Linked DNA regions of Mus musculus. The main gene of each other region encodes a partner of the protein of the gene in region 2 in a complex. Links are inferred from orthologs where the notes say so. Each region holds a gene or a part of one and is shown on either strand. Other genes may lie near its edges.

Region 1 (3,500 bases), about 63 Mb from region 2:
CTTTCGGCAGGACTGGTCACTAAGGAACCACTCTGCAATAATTTATAGCTCATGAAAATGCACTTAACTAAGGTGCTGCTCATTCTAAGAACTGTGACATTTGTGAATAAATGAGAAATCTGAGGTCTGGATGTCAAGTTCAGAGCAAAGGATCAGTAATTTCACATTTGCAGTAACTATAAATAAATGCATGGATCAGGTAAGAATCATATGGATAATGTTGAGTAGACAGTGCGTACAGAAGTCAGGAACACCTTATTCATTAATTTTGTCTCTTATCTAGTTCAGTACAATGCTCACAAGGAAAACAACCACTTAAGGCAGAAAACTGGGCGTATCATTGCTGTTCAGAACTTTGTGAGAGCAGACAAATCAATACTGATCAACTTCCCTGCTTCAGGCCGAATCATTCATCTTCACACAGGTTATTTTGTAAGATGGACGTCCATTCATGCTATGCCTTGAATAGTTGAAGCACAAAGTACAATCCTAGAGAGTCAGGATCTTCATCAATATATCTACACGGAAGTCTGCTTGTAGTTTTTGGTATCCAAAACCTTTTTGCCACACATCGCACAGATGCCTGAAACACAAGAAAACGTGTGTGAGCAAGCAGTGCAACTGCCTGGTTTATTTAGGTCAATCTAACGCCTAAAAGGTCACTCAGTGGGACAGGGAGGCGGCTCCCCGGATAAGTGCACTTGCTCTGTAATCATATAAACCAGAGTTTGGAGTCCAGCATCCACACTCTCACAAATGCCCATAATTTCAGATCCAAGTGGGGTGCAGACAGGAGGAACCTTGGTTTGCTGGCTTCTAGCCCAACTGAGAAAAAGGCATCTCAGGTTCAGGGAGACACCCTACCTCAAAAGGTATAGTAAGAAAGAAAGACATGGTGCCCTCTTGTGCCTTGTGAGCACACATGCCTAATGCCTAGGTGAGCTCCACATACATGTACATATACATGCACTCAGACAGACACACAGATAAAGGACAGTCAGAGTCTTTAAGAACGTCAAAACATCATAAGAAAGAAAAAGGAATATCCTTTTGACTATAAATTTATTTTAAATTCTATTTTATCTTAGTAAAAAGGAGCATTTGACTAACAATTTATGAAAGGTTATTCCTTTGTTATTTAAAGCAATAGCAAATGAGACAGATTTGATATAAGTAAAAAAATTAAGTTAAAAACGCATACCTTTTTTGTAGGCGCAGCCTTGACAGTAATGAGAACCTGGCTGGTGTACAGAACTTTTACAAATTCTGCAAGTGGAGAACTTATTTTTTCCATATGGATCAAACCTAGAGAATTAAAAAAAAAAAGATAGTCATACAATAGAAATGTGTGTGTGTGTGTGTGTGTGTGTGTGTATGCATGTGTCTTAGTCAGGATTTCTATTCCTGCACAAACATCATGACCAAGAAGCAAGTTGGGGAGGAAAGGGTTTATTCGGCTTACACTTCCATACTGCTGTTCATCACCAAGGAAGTCAGGACTGGAACTCAAGCAGGTCAGGAAGCAGGAGCTGATGCAGAGGCCATGGAGGGATGTTCTTTACTGGCTTGCTTCTCCTGGCTTGCTCAGCCTGCTCTCTTATAGAACCCAAGACTACCAGCCCAGGGATGGTCCCACCCACAAGGGGCCTTTCCCCCTTGATCACTAATTGAGAAAATGCCTTACAGCTGGATCTCATGGAGGCATTTCCTCAACTGAAGCTCCTTTCTCTGTGATAACTCCAGCTGTGTCAAGTTGACACAAAACTAGCCAGTACAGCATGCGTGCGTGTGTGTGGCAGGGGTTCTTTGTATGGCTCTGGCTGTCCTGGTACTCACTCTGTAGACCAAGCTGGCTTTAAACTCACTGAGATTCACCTGCCTCTGCCTCCCAAGTGCTGGGATTATATAAGGGTAAGCCAACTACTAAAAACAGGAGGAAGGACTCCATATGTTGTCCCTCCCCTCCTCCTCCTCCTCCTCCTCCTCCTCCTCCTCTTCCTCTTCCTCTTCCTCTCTCTCTCTCTCTCTCTCTCTCTCTCATGTGTGCAGGGGTAGCTATGGAAGCCAGAGGGTTCGGGTCCTTTAGACTTGGGGTTACAGGTGGTTTTGAGCTGCATACTGTAGGCGTTGAGAAGCAAACTCAGGCCATCTTCCCGGGCCCATTCCCCTCCCAGCTCAGGCCCCTCTTTTGGTGAACCCAGGCTGGATGACCTTGTCCTCCCAATGCTTTTGTCACCAGCACCGAAGCACTGGGGTTACAGGCACGAGCCATCACACCTGGCTTAGTGTTTGCTCCACTCTGAGGGTACAAAATATATATTCTGGTGATGAAACCATGTTTATGTGAGATGTTATATAAAACTCTTGTCAGTAGATCCAGACTGAAAAAGCTTAATCTCAATAGCCAACAATAGATGAATACATCTACAGTTGGTTGTAAAATGAAGCAGGTCCATCTCCTAATGACTCCTCACTTTAACAAGCATTTTCAAGTGACTAGACTAATCCCTTTGGATACAGGGTTTTCAACATGAACATGGTAACCTATAGGAAACACAGGGCAAATAGCTTTATAAGAAACAATTCTCCCAAAACTGACTGTTTGCCTTCCCCCCAAACAGCTATTTATATTTGCTCCATGAAACATCAGAGTCCTAGTATCGTGTTTGGGCTACAGCATGGGATATTCTTTTCTTTAAAAAAAATTTTTTTTTACCTTTATATATTTTAATTTTATGTGTACAGGTGTCTTGCCTGAATAAATGTCTGTGTGTTATGTGGGTTGTGCCTGTGGGAGACAAAAAGGGCACTGGATCTCCTGGGACCAAAGTTAGAGACAGTTGTGAGCCACCGTATGGGTGCTGGGAATTGAATCCAAGTCCTCTGGAAGAGCGCTGTGCCATCTCTCAGCCCCATTGTTTTCTATATTAAACAGACACCTGTTACTTGCTGGTTCATTTGATTTTTAAGACAGAATTTGGCTCCATAGCGCAGGCTGTCACGGCATTTACTATCTTCCCACTCAGCTCCCCACATGTACCATAACGGCTACGTAATAGGTACGTTTTGGAGGTTAGCTTTTCTAAACTGAATCACTTTACTCCCACAAGAGTAAGTAAAATTTTTGTTTCAACTTAGATGTTTAGAGTCCTTTTCTGAAACCACATTTTTATTGTTCTAAAACGACATTTTAACCTCGAAATGAGCTTTTTTCATTAATTGGCAGGAATTTTGTTCTTTTTCTAGAGATTCTATTGTTTTTTGAAATTATGTTTATGTGTGTGTTTGTGTCAGGGTTTCTGCTGCTAAGGCTAGAAGACAGTGCTGGATCCCCTGAAAGTGGAGTTAAAGGCAGTTTGTGAGCTTCTTGATGTCCAAACTGAACTCAGATCCTCCGGAAAAGCAGTGTATACTCTTAACCACTGAGCCATTTCTCCAGCCTCCCAGAGTTTCTTGCTCATTATAAATAACGGTACTGAAAATTTAATGTAATATAGTAG
Region 2 (3,957 bases):
TCCATACCTTTAATGTAAAAGTGTTGACTTTCAATCAATCAATCAATCCCTGTTCTGACACTTCATTGTTTTTCTAAGTCCTGCTTTACTCTCCAATTTAACAGTTTTCCTGTAAGGTTCTACCTTTTCATGGTGTTCCAAGCTCAGCATCACTAAACTCTCAAGCTCCAGTTTTTTGGACTGTATTACTCATTCCCTATTCCCTTCTAACTATGTATGTTTTACTTTTTTCCTCTAACACATTTTCTCCAAAATAGGGTCTCAAACATGGGAAAGAAAACTAGCATCAAAACACACACACAGGGGAAAGCAGAGGTTAGTAAAAGCAGATAGCAGAGATGGAGCTGGGTGAAATAGTACCATATCAATGCCCGGTTTAAAAAAAAAAACAACAACAACAACAAAAAACAAACTGAAGTGTGTTGCCTGGTTCTGGTGGCACTGCCTTTAGTCCCGGCACTTGGGAAGCAAGGCAGGTGGATCTCTTGAGTTCTAGGCCAATCTGGTCTATACAGCAAGTTCCAGAACAACCATGGCTACAAAAAAAAAAAATCCTAGTCTGGGGATGGGGACATGTCACCAAAGTGCGGGGGGGGGGGGGGGGGAATCAAGGAAGATGCTGAATGTAAAGCAAACACCCAGATGCACTTTTGCCCCATTTCATCCTCAAGCCTAACATAAGTCCTACTCAATCTCAACAGTTAACACAAGAGGAAACTAAAAGCAAGAAAGGTAAATCTAGGAGAGACAACAAGAGTAAGAGATAAGGCTAAATCTAAGAAATGCAAAACCTTTTTTACAGCCCCCCCCCTCTAATGTTTCTGTAGTACCTTCTAACAACCACTCTTGATAGTCTTGGAAAAAGAAAAACCAATCCTTCCTCACTCTAAATCTAGGGCTTATATTGCTTTCTCACCTAACAGTCCTTCTAACCACTCATATTTTCACCATTTCACACAAAAATCCTCCCACACCCTACCTGAAGAATGAAAGCTAAGCAAAAAGTATTAGAGTCACAGTTTTGGAGAATTTTCAGAGACGAGCTAAAGGGGGAGGGGGGACTTACATACCAGCAGCCAAAAACAATGCTTGAAACACTAAAAGGGAAACCACAACTACCAAAACCAGGAAGTATTTAAAACAGGAGCCCAAAGCATGCAAGCCTCTCCAAGAACAAATTGCCGGCAAGGGAGGAAAACTTATCAGAATGCCAAAATACAAAGAGGTAGAAAATTAGCAAACTAAGATATTCAAGAAACAGCGACCGAGAGAACAGCAATGATCAAGGAAAAGGACGCTGAGTAAAAAATACAGAGAACTCAGAGCTGAGACACTACTGACTGCATAGGCACCATGAAACATACAAGCTACAGTATACATCCAGGCCTAGGCCCCACTCCCACGGAAAAAGGCAATAGTTTCCTTTTGAATCCACAATTAAGAGACATCTTAAAAGAACTGTAAGATGGAAACAGCAAGGAAGAACGTCATCACCAAGTAATGGCTGACTGAAGCCAGGCTATTAAGTCAAGAATTTTTTCCCCATCGAAAAGCTCTAAAAGGCTTAGCTTTAATATTTGAGGAGACCTTTTTAAAAACAGGGTAGGAGCCGGGTGTGGAGGCAGAGGCAGACGGATTTCTGAGTTCGAGGCCAGCCTGGTCTACAGAGTGAGTTCCAGGACAGCCAGAGAAACCCTGTCTCCGGGGAAAAAAAAAACAAAAAACAAAAACCAGGGTAGGAGCCAGACATGGTGTCTCATGCCTTTGATCCCACAGAGGCAGGCAGATTTCTTGAGTTCAATGCTAGCCTGATCTACACGGTTAGTGCCAGACCAACCAAGACTATTTAGAGGCCCTAGCTCATAAAACCAAACCGTAAAAAAGAAATAAAATAACAGGGTTGAAAGGAGCACATTGGTCTTCCTTATACACGCAGGCTGAATACTTTCGCGGTTTTATTATCCTCACTTTTTAAGACTTGGGGATCCCCCACCCCCACGCACACACTCACAGCCTCTGATACTAACGAGGACGAACGGTTTAAATCCTGGCCTCCGAAAGTTCAAGGCCTCCTCCCGCCGCCCACTGGGCAGCCCAGCTTATTTTCGGCCTCGAGGAGGGGGGAGGGGGCCACGCGGCGCCCCGCGGTCTGGGCGGCTCTGGCCGTTTCTCAGGCCCCTAGCAGGGCCCGTGGACCCACGCCGGAGCCGATCGAGGAGAGGTACCAGCAGGTCCGAAGCTCGGGCGGGGGACAAGTACCTCCGCTGCCGCCCTCTCCCCGCCCCCTAAAAGACCGAAGAGGACGACCGCGGAACGACGGCCTCCTCAGCCCCAGGTAGAGCAAAGGAGAGAAGCAGAGCCTCGCGCAATGCTGTCTCACCGGGGGCGCGCGGACGAGACCAGGCGGCCGCGCGCGCCGCGGCCGTGTGGGGGAGGGGCGGAGGAGTTGAAGGCCGCGCGTCCCAGGAACCGCGGGAGGGGGAGGGGAGGAAGGGAAGGCGACCGCGCCGGCCGAGGCGACGAGCACGCGTGCGCGCGGCGGCCTGGGCCGTTCTCCCCGCGCTCTAGCCTCCGGCCCAGCCCGCCGCCCCTCCCCCACCCGGCTAGCGCGCTCCCTTTCTCTCACCCGCCGCCGCCGCCTCCGGCCGCCGACTGTCAAACAGGGAGGTCCCGCCGCAGCTGCTGCTTAAGTTTTCGTATCCCTCGGAGCCTGAAGCCGCCGCCTCGTCGGTCCGCCCGCCTCAGCCGCCGCCGCCGCCGCCTCCTCGCTTCCTCAGGGGCCGCAGCGGGCTTCGACTGCGCCACTCGCACCCCGCCTGGGCAGCGTTGCGCGTCAGCACGACCTAGTGCGTCAGCACGCAATCATGAGAGCCGCTGGGCCCTCTGGGAACCGTAGTGCGTCGTGCGCAGGCGTTGAAGCCACAAGGAGGACCTTAGGCGAAGGGACGTGCTACTGAAAAGTCGAAAAACCCCGAGTCCCGTCGGGCACTGCGGGGAAAGGCGTGGCTCCGTACCGAAGCTGCAAGGTCGGCTGAAAAAAAACTTCTGTAGGAGGGGGGAGGGGCGCGGGGGCCGCAACCCACAACACCCGGGAGTAGCTCAGACGCACGCCTTCCGCGCACAGAGTTCTGGGAGCTGTAGTTCGGTTTTAGAGAGAAAACGCGTAAGACTCCTCCGCTAGGCAGGGTCGCCATTTTATGTGACCGTGTTGGGTGGCAGTGGCTCAGCAGCTTTACCTAGTCACTGTGACCATGGTTTTCTTTAATGTGTACGAGGCCCCACAGCACCGAGTCTTCTTCGCAGGAAGAGGTGCTTCAGAGTCAAGCCACCTGACAGCTCTGGAGCCACTTGAACCCGGCTTCTGGCCCAGTATCCGGTGCTTTCCACAGTTTCCACCTCTGTAGTCCTATCTGAAGTGGGGCTTGCAGACCACTAAAAAATACTTTCTCTTACCTTTGGGCAAAGAGACTAAGTGATTACTTTTCGCCTATAGAGACTATGCCATGTAAGTGGAGGAATGTGAGAATGCAGTTCCATTTCCTGGCCCTATAGCACGGTTCCGGGAGTTTGTCCCAGTGCCTCTCACTCGGTAGCAAGGGCCCCACCACTGAGGCACTGAAAGATCCTGGCAGAATGTAAAAGGACACAGAAGCCCTGAAATTGGCAAGATAGACGTCAGTGTTAGCAGAACTAGCTTCACTGATTTAGAAAAATAGAGGTGCACAATGCTCTGGCCACTCCTTGAACCTGTGTGTCTGCCAATGTTCTGACCAGGTGTGTGCTCATTGCTGCACCTTCATTAGACTCTCCTTGTACCCCTCCATACCCATTTCTTGAGAATAGACATTGTTTAGATCTGGAAATCCCCTAATCTCCCCCTTCTCCTTTCCCCCCTGAGGGCCTATAAAAACTGGAAACTCTTTCCCCTCGAGGACGACTCCTCTACCCCTGCGTGGG
Region 3 (2,945 bases), on a different chromosome or scaffold from region 2:
TCCGATGTGTGCTCCACGTCCCTTTAAGAGTAGTTATGTCGTGCGTGCGAGTCTGAAAAGGGAAGTCCCTGAAGACCTCTCTTCAGCTCTGGTGCCAGGGACTGAGTGCAGAGTGCACGCGTATGCTAAGCCCAGGCTCTCCTGAGTTACATCCCCACGTGGAAAGCCCTCTGATGGCGTATCAGCACGTATGTAACACAGAACAGTGGAAATAGCAGTGTAGACAAAGGGGCTGAAACCTTATCAGTCCCACCATCTTAAGATGAGTACCGGGAACACAACAGCCACTTGAGTCACTGGGTATGAGTTTCTAAACTTGTAAGTAGCTATATTATCCTTTAATGTTTCTTTAAAAAAAAAATTACCTTTTCTGACAGTGCTTTCCCTCCCATAGATCCACGTTCAAGCTCAAAGAGCAAAGGCTTTGCACGGAGCTCAAACATCTGATGAAGAAAGATTTCTGAGATGATCAGTGTACCGTCCACTAAATAAACAGAATTGAGACTTTTTCTACACGTTTTTATTTGAAATGAGGTGCACTAAGCAAGACCTTAGTTCCCCATGGCGCGGTGGAGAAGCACACAGGGCAAATGCAGTTGACAGAGCTCCAGTGTGTGAACATTAGCCCACTCACCATTTGAGGTGAGGTTATTCATAACGTTTACAGAAAAGGTTACAGCTGGATTAGTGTCACACACAAGGAAGGAATCTCAATTCTGTGTGGGGCAGTGGTATTTCTAAGTGCTGCAAGATTGGAGAAGCACAAACATAACCCCATTCCATATAAAAAAACTACTCCGAAATAGAATAATCAATGCCCCTACATCCCAGAATGAAAAGGAGTGCTGGGATCTATCATCGAGATTTTTTAATCTTTTTTTTTTTTTTAACAGTCCAGTCTTTATCTCCCTCCTGGTCATCTCTCTGATGATTCCTCATCCCATTCCTCCTCCCCCATTTCCAAGAGGATGTCCCCACCCCCACCCACTAGGACGCCCTATTCCCTGGAGTCTCAAGTGTCTGGAGGGGGTGGGGACATCTGTTCACAATGAGGCCAGACCAGGCAGTCCTCTGCTGCATATGTCAGATTTAGTTTTAAGAGGTCCCTCTACTCTTTCCTCCGCTTCTTGCCTTCATGCTCATGTTCCTTGGGGCGACTGCTATCAGAGGGTCTTTTAGAACCACCGTGCTGTTTGGCTTCTTCCAAAAACTTGTCCAAACCAAAAGGATCCTCCTCAAACTGCACTGGTCCTTCTCGGCCTCTCTGTTTGCGGTCTGATCCAGAAAACTCCTTATCAGGAACAAATCTAGGGGAAAAGAGCAGAGGTCATGAGCACTCTTCCTTGGCTGCTGTAAACGGGACGGAACACCAACCGTCTGTCTGTCTACACGGTACCTGTTGGTCTTTATCCTGGCTTCCAGGTCATCACCATACATGTCCTTGTCCAGATTTTTACTGGGCCTGTAGATGCTCTGGGCCATATCTTTCCCACCTCTCCAGGCTTGATCATAAACATTGTAAATTTCATCTTCTCCACCTGCAAATCCACTGTCCATACCCTGTGGAAAAATGAAGGACACTAAAAATAAAGGTATACTTATCCAAAGCTGGATCTGAATACTTAGGAATTAACATTTCCATGTTTACAGCTAATTTAAAAACCTCAACTGCAACATTTATATAAAATAATAAACAAGTATCAAGTTATTCATATACATTTGAGTCCCAGCGGTAATGAGGCAGGCAGGTAGGTCTGAGTTTCAGTCAGCCTGGTCCAAATGTCATATTCTAAGACAGCCAGAGATATATAAGAGGCCCTGCCTCAAACAACAAAGTTCTGACTAGCCAAAAAATAAAGGACATATGGCTGGGTGTGGTGGTGCACAACCTTAATCGAGACACCCAGGAGCAGAGAGTCAAGCAGATCTGGTTTACAAAGGCCAGCCTGGCTCACATAGTAAATTCCAATACAGCCAGGGATACATAAGGAATACATCTTCAAAAATCCAGAACTAAAACAAAAAGAAAACACAAAGTTGGGTGTGTAGAGAAAGTAGGGTGGATCTGGGAGGAGGTGGAGGAAAGTGAATATGGTCAAACTCAATTGTATGAAATTCTTCAAAGACCAAATTCCAAAAAAATCAATTAACAGTGACATTAAAATTGAAGGATTATATTGTAGGTACTGGACAATGATGCTAACAAACATCACCTCAACTGCCTGAGAATGTCACTATCCGTTAAATCACAATGAAAATTGTCAAGTTTCCCAGGGTTTTAAAAGGTTTAAGCTTAAGGTCTGAAGAGATGACCACTTTGAAGTATTTACTTATGTGGAACTTTCATTCTGACTCCTGCCCAGCCTAGCTTACATTGCACAGCAGTTAAGAATAAAGCTTTGAATCAAAGAATTCAAGTTGAATCTCAGTTCCATCAATTATCCAACCCTATCTCAATATCTAAGAGAGATAATAGGGTGCTGCAGAGATGGCTCAGTGTTACAGCACTTTCTGCATAAGCCTGAGGGCACAAGTGTGGATTCCTTGAACCCGTGTAAATGACAGGTGGCTGTGGAAGCTTGCCTGTAACTCCATCCTCTGAAGATGTAGACAGGAAACCTCAGAGCAGACTGGGCAGGAAGACTAACTCTCTCAGTGAGTTCTGGAATGGACTGAGAGATCTGCCTCAGTGAATAAGTTGGAAGGGAGAGTGATAAAGACAATTCCTAACATCAACTTCCAACATTAACATATGCATGTACACACAAGTGCCTACACAGGCAAACATGCATACAAATGAAAATGGAAAAAAGAAACCTCTTCCCCAAACCCAACAGTCTAGCTTCATATGTTGTGCGTCCACCTCCATTGTTTCAAAGGATTGAAATGAATAGACTTGGAACAATGCCAGGAATATAAAACATCAAAAAAAAGCATTGTTGCTT
Region 4 (2,650 bases), on a different chromosome or scaffold from region 2:
ACCGCTGGGTGGAGCAGAACCTGGGGCCAGAGTTTGTGGAGCGGATTATCTTGACTAGGGACAAGACGGTGGTCATGGGAGACCTGCTCATTGATGACAAAGACAACATTCAAGGTTGGGCCAGCCAGTTAACCTTGACAACCCCCAGGCATCTGGCCTGCTGGGATTAAGGAGGAGTAAAAATGACCCAATTACAGAGCGCACGCTGTCTTTACTGCCCAGGCCTAGAGGAGACCCCAAGCTGGGAGCACATCTTGTTCACCTGCTGCCACAATCAGCACCTGGCCCTGCCCCCCACCAGGAGACGGCTGCTTTCCTGGAGTGACAACTGGAGGGGGATCATTGAGAGCAAGCGAGCCAGCCTGTGAAGGACCCTGAGGTGGACAGGACCCTGCCTGGACAGGTGACTTTCTTTAATCAGGGAGCCACTTGAACAGACTGCTTTCCGGCTCCTCCCAGGAGGCCTACACGGGAAAGAAGGAGACTAGCACACAAATACAGTGGAGAAAATCAGGAGGTTTTTAATAAAAATAAAAACCAAACGCGAGGCTTTGGATCTTTGATGCTCCTTTTCCTTTTCAGCTCAGGATGGGAGCGGGAGCCTTCCTTCATCCAGTGGCTGTACGACAGCCCCTCTCCAGCCCTTGTAGATCTCCTTCCTCAGCTTTCGTTGTCCATCTGAGGGGGGACAATGCTGAGTGATCAGGGCCCCCATTTTCCCTAAACTCCACTTCCTGTCAGGACTGCTCTTCGCTTATCCCCTAATTCCATTTTTTCTTCTCAGTGGCAGAGGAGGGCGGGGTAACCAGTTACAGGAGCTCGTTAGACTCTATCGGACCTTTGTGGTCAGGAACTCACTAGGTGGACCAGACTCATCGCTATCCCGCTCCTGTCTCTCAAGGGATTAGATTAGAGGTTGGGCCGCCATGGTCCCCTGACATTAGTTTCTAGGTGTCTTTATGGAAGGTCTGCATCTGAGTCCTGAGGGGTTGACAGTACCTACTGGAGGCTTGTGGCTCCTGAGAGAATGGCAGGAAGCAGACTGGGATAGCCCATGAAAGGTTCATGTTCAGGGCTCCCACCCAAGTGTCAGAAGATCTGACCCATAGGCAAAGGGGGCCAGAGCAACTCTTTTGAAAAGACAGGGATGCCACACTTGGCAGCTGGCACATGAGTGGTCCACAGCCTGGTAAAACAGAAGTCACTGTCTTGCTGTCTAACCCAAGGATCCTATGTAGGGCCTCTCCAGAGAGACAAGGCATGCCCGGGTGCCCTCAGTTCTCCTTCATTCTGCTCTCACACCTGTAGGGCCTTGTTCTTCATGCCCAATGGCCATTTAGTTAACACTCATTAAGCTGTGACACCCAAGGGAAGACACTTCACCTCTGCATTCCTCTTAGGGCGCCTCGCAGAGAGCAGGGCTGTGTGGATAGTTGTTTCTGTTCTGCAGAGCTCTCCAAGTCAATGCTACCATGCCCAGATACTCAGCCTCAACACGGGAGGAGTCAACCCACGGCATTTCCCCAGACAATAAGGCTGATTGATCTCTAGCCATCAAAATTACTCTGGACACTCATGGTACTGGCCACTCTCCCAGGGGCACAGCTTCTTACACGAGGGCATTAGCTGGGCACTGGGGGCAGCAGAGGTGGTGGTCTGTCTGTAGTTTATTGATTGCCAGTCCATGAAAGCCATACCAGCTTTGGTTCTCCTCTAAGCATCTCAAGTCTGGCTTCGTCCCTCCTCCTGTTTTCCCTGGATGCAAACGCCTGTCATGCCAAGACTGCAGCTTGCATGCAGCTGAACAAGCACCACTTTGCGCAGGATGGGCTCAGGATGCTATTAGCCTTCTGCTTCCTATACCTGTGGCAGGATCTTTAAGTGTCCTTGGGTCAGGGCTGCTGTGGGGCCTCAGTCTTTGGCAGTGGGATCCCCAGGGCAGAATGGGCCTGCTGGCTGTGGGCCTCAGCCACCTGGCTCGGCGAGCAGAAGTCCTCTAGGAATATCTGGGCCAGGTTCCGGAGCCGTGTGCTGGCAGAGATGGAGAAGCGCAGCATGCACTGGACCACGGGCAGGGAGGTCAGCTCGGGATGGGAGCGGGAGCCTGGCGAGCTCAGGTACATGAGAGTGGTGACAGCAGACAGCACCGTCTCCTCGTCAGGACTGGACAGGCAGCCGATGATGAGCGGGAGGCCCCCCGCCTGCAGGACGTGCTCCTTGTTGGCCTTGTCCGCGCACAGGTTGCAGAGCCCCCCTGGAGAGAGGCAAAGGTGGATGAGCCGGGTGCCTGGGTTCTGGTTTTCCTCTGTCTCGCCTCCCAGCCTCTCTCTGGCTAGTGAGTCCTGAGGAAGCACTTGGGCCTGGGGAGAAGTCTGCCTGTGGACAGGGACTGCAAGGTCACCAAGACCCAGTCCTCTGCCAAGGCTTCAGGAGTCCACCCTGGGAGTCACCCTGACTTCTGTCCCCAGCATCAGCCCTCCCCCAAAAGGATAGTGAGAAAGAAAAAGAAACCAGAAACCTCACGACATGCTAAGTCTAAGTAAATTACAGCAAGCTCATTGGATAAAAAATACCATGTAGAGCTTAAAAATAATGTCTCCAGGCTAGATAAGTGGCTCAACAGCTAAGACAGTGTATGGCCCTGGCAGAG

The links. The genes of interacting proteins can lie anywhere in the genome.
Region 1: Srrm2 (region 2) and Cript share a complex: the UniProt entries of both Homo sapiens proteins name them as parts of the minor spliceosome. The link is inferred for Mus musculus from reciprocal best matches to the Homo sapiens genes SRRM2 and CRIPT.
Region 3: Srrm2 (region 2) and Snw1 share a complex: the UniProt entries of both Homo sapiens proteins name them as parts of the minor spliceosome. The link is inferred for Mus musculus from reciprocal best matches to the Homo sapiens genes SRRM2 and SNW1.
Region 4: Srrm2 (region 2) and Armc7 share a complex: the UniProt entries of both Homo sapiens proteins name them as parts of the minor spliceosome. The link is inferred for Mus musculus from reciprocal best matches to the Homo sapiens genes SRRM2 and ARMC7.

Annotation. Positions count from the first base shown.
Region 1 is NC_000083.6:87,032,061-87,035,560, reverse strand, and holds part of Cript (cysteine-rich PDZ-binding protein), read right to left. Parts: intron 1,306-3,500; coding exon 1,202-1,305; intron 584-1,201; coding exon 519-583; 3' UTR 1-518. UniProt on the Homo sapiens protein: As a component of the minor spliceosome, involved in the splicing of U12-type introns in pre-mRNAs. Involved in the cytoskeletal anchoring of DLG4 in excitatory synapses.
Region 2 is NC_000083.6:23,802,068-23,806,024, reverse strand, and holds the start of Srrm2 (serine/arginine repetitive matrix protein 2), read right to left. Parts: upstream 2,801-3,957; 5' UTR 2,627-2,800; intron 2,371-2,626; exon of another isoform or gene 2,028-2,370; intron 1-2,027. UniProt on the Homo sapiens protein: Required for pre-mRNA splicing as component of the spliceosome. As a component of the minor spliceosome, involved in the splicing of U12-type introns in pre-mRNAs.
Region 3 is NC_000078.6:87,449,410-87,452,354, forward strand, and holds the end of Snw1 (SNW domain-containing protein 1), read right to left. Parts: intron 1,561-2,945; coding exon 1,397-1,560; intron 1,308-1,396; coding exon 1,109-1,307; 3' UTR 501-1,108; downstream 1-500. Other genes in the region: Slirp (SRA stem-loop-interacting RNA-binding protein, mitochondrial), read left to right, coding at 395-469. UniProt on the Homo sapiens protein: Involved in pre-mRNA splicing as component of the spliceosome. As a component of the minor spliceosome, involved in the splicing of U12-type introns in pre-mRNAs.
Region 4 is NC_000077.6:115,488,317-115,490,966, reverse strand, and holds the end of Armc7 (armadillo repeat-containing protein 7), read right to left. Parts: intron 2,255-2,650; coding exon 1,893-2,254; 3' UTR 501-1,892; downstream 1-500. Other genes in the region: Nt5c (5'(3')-deoxyribonucleotidase, cytosolic type), read left to right, coding at 1-114, 223-368. UniProt on the Homo sapiens protein: As a component of the minor spliceosome, involved in the splicing of U12-type introns in pre-mRNAs.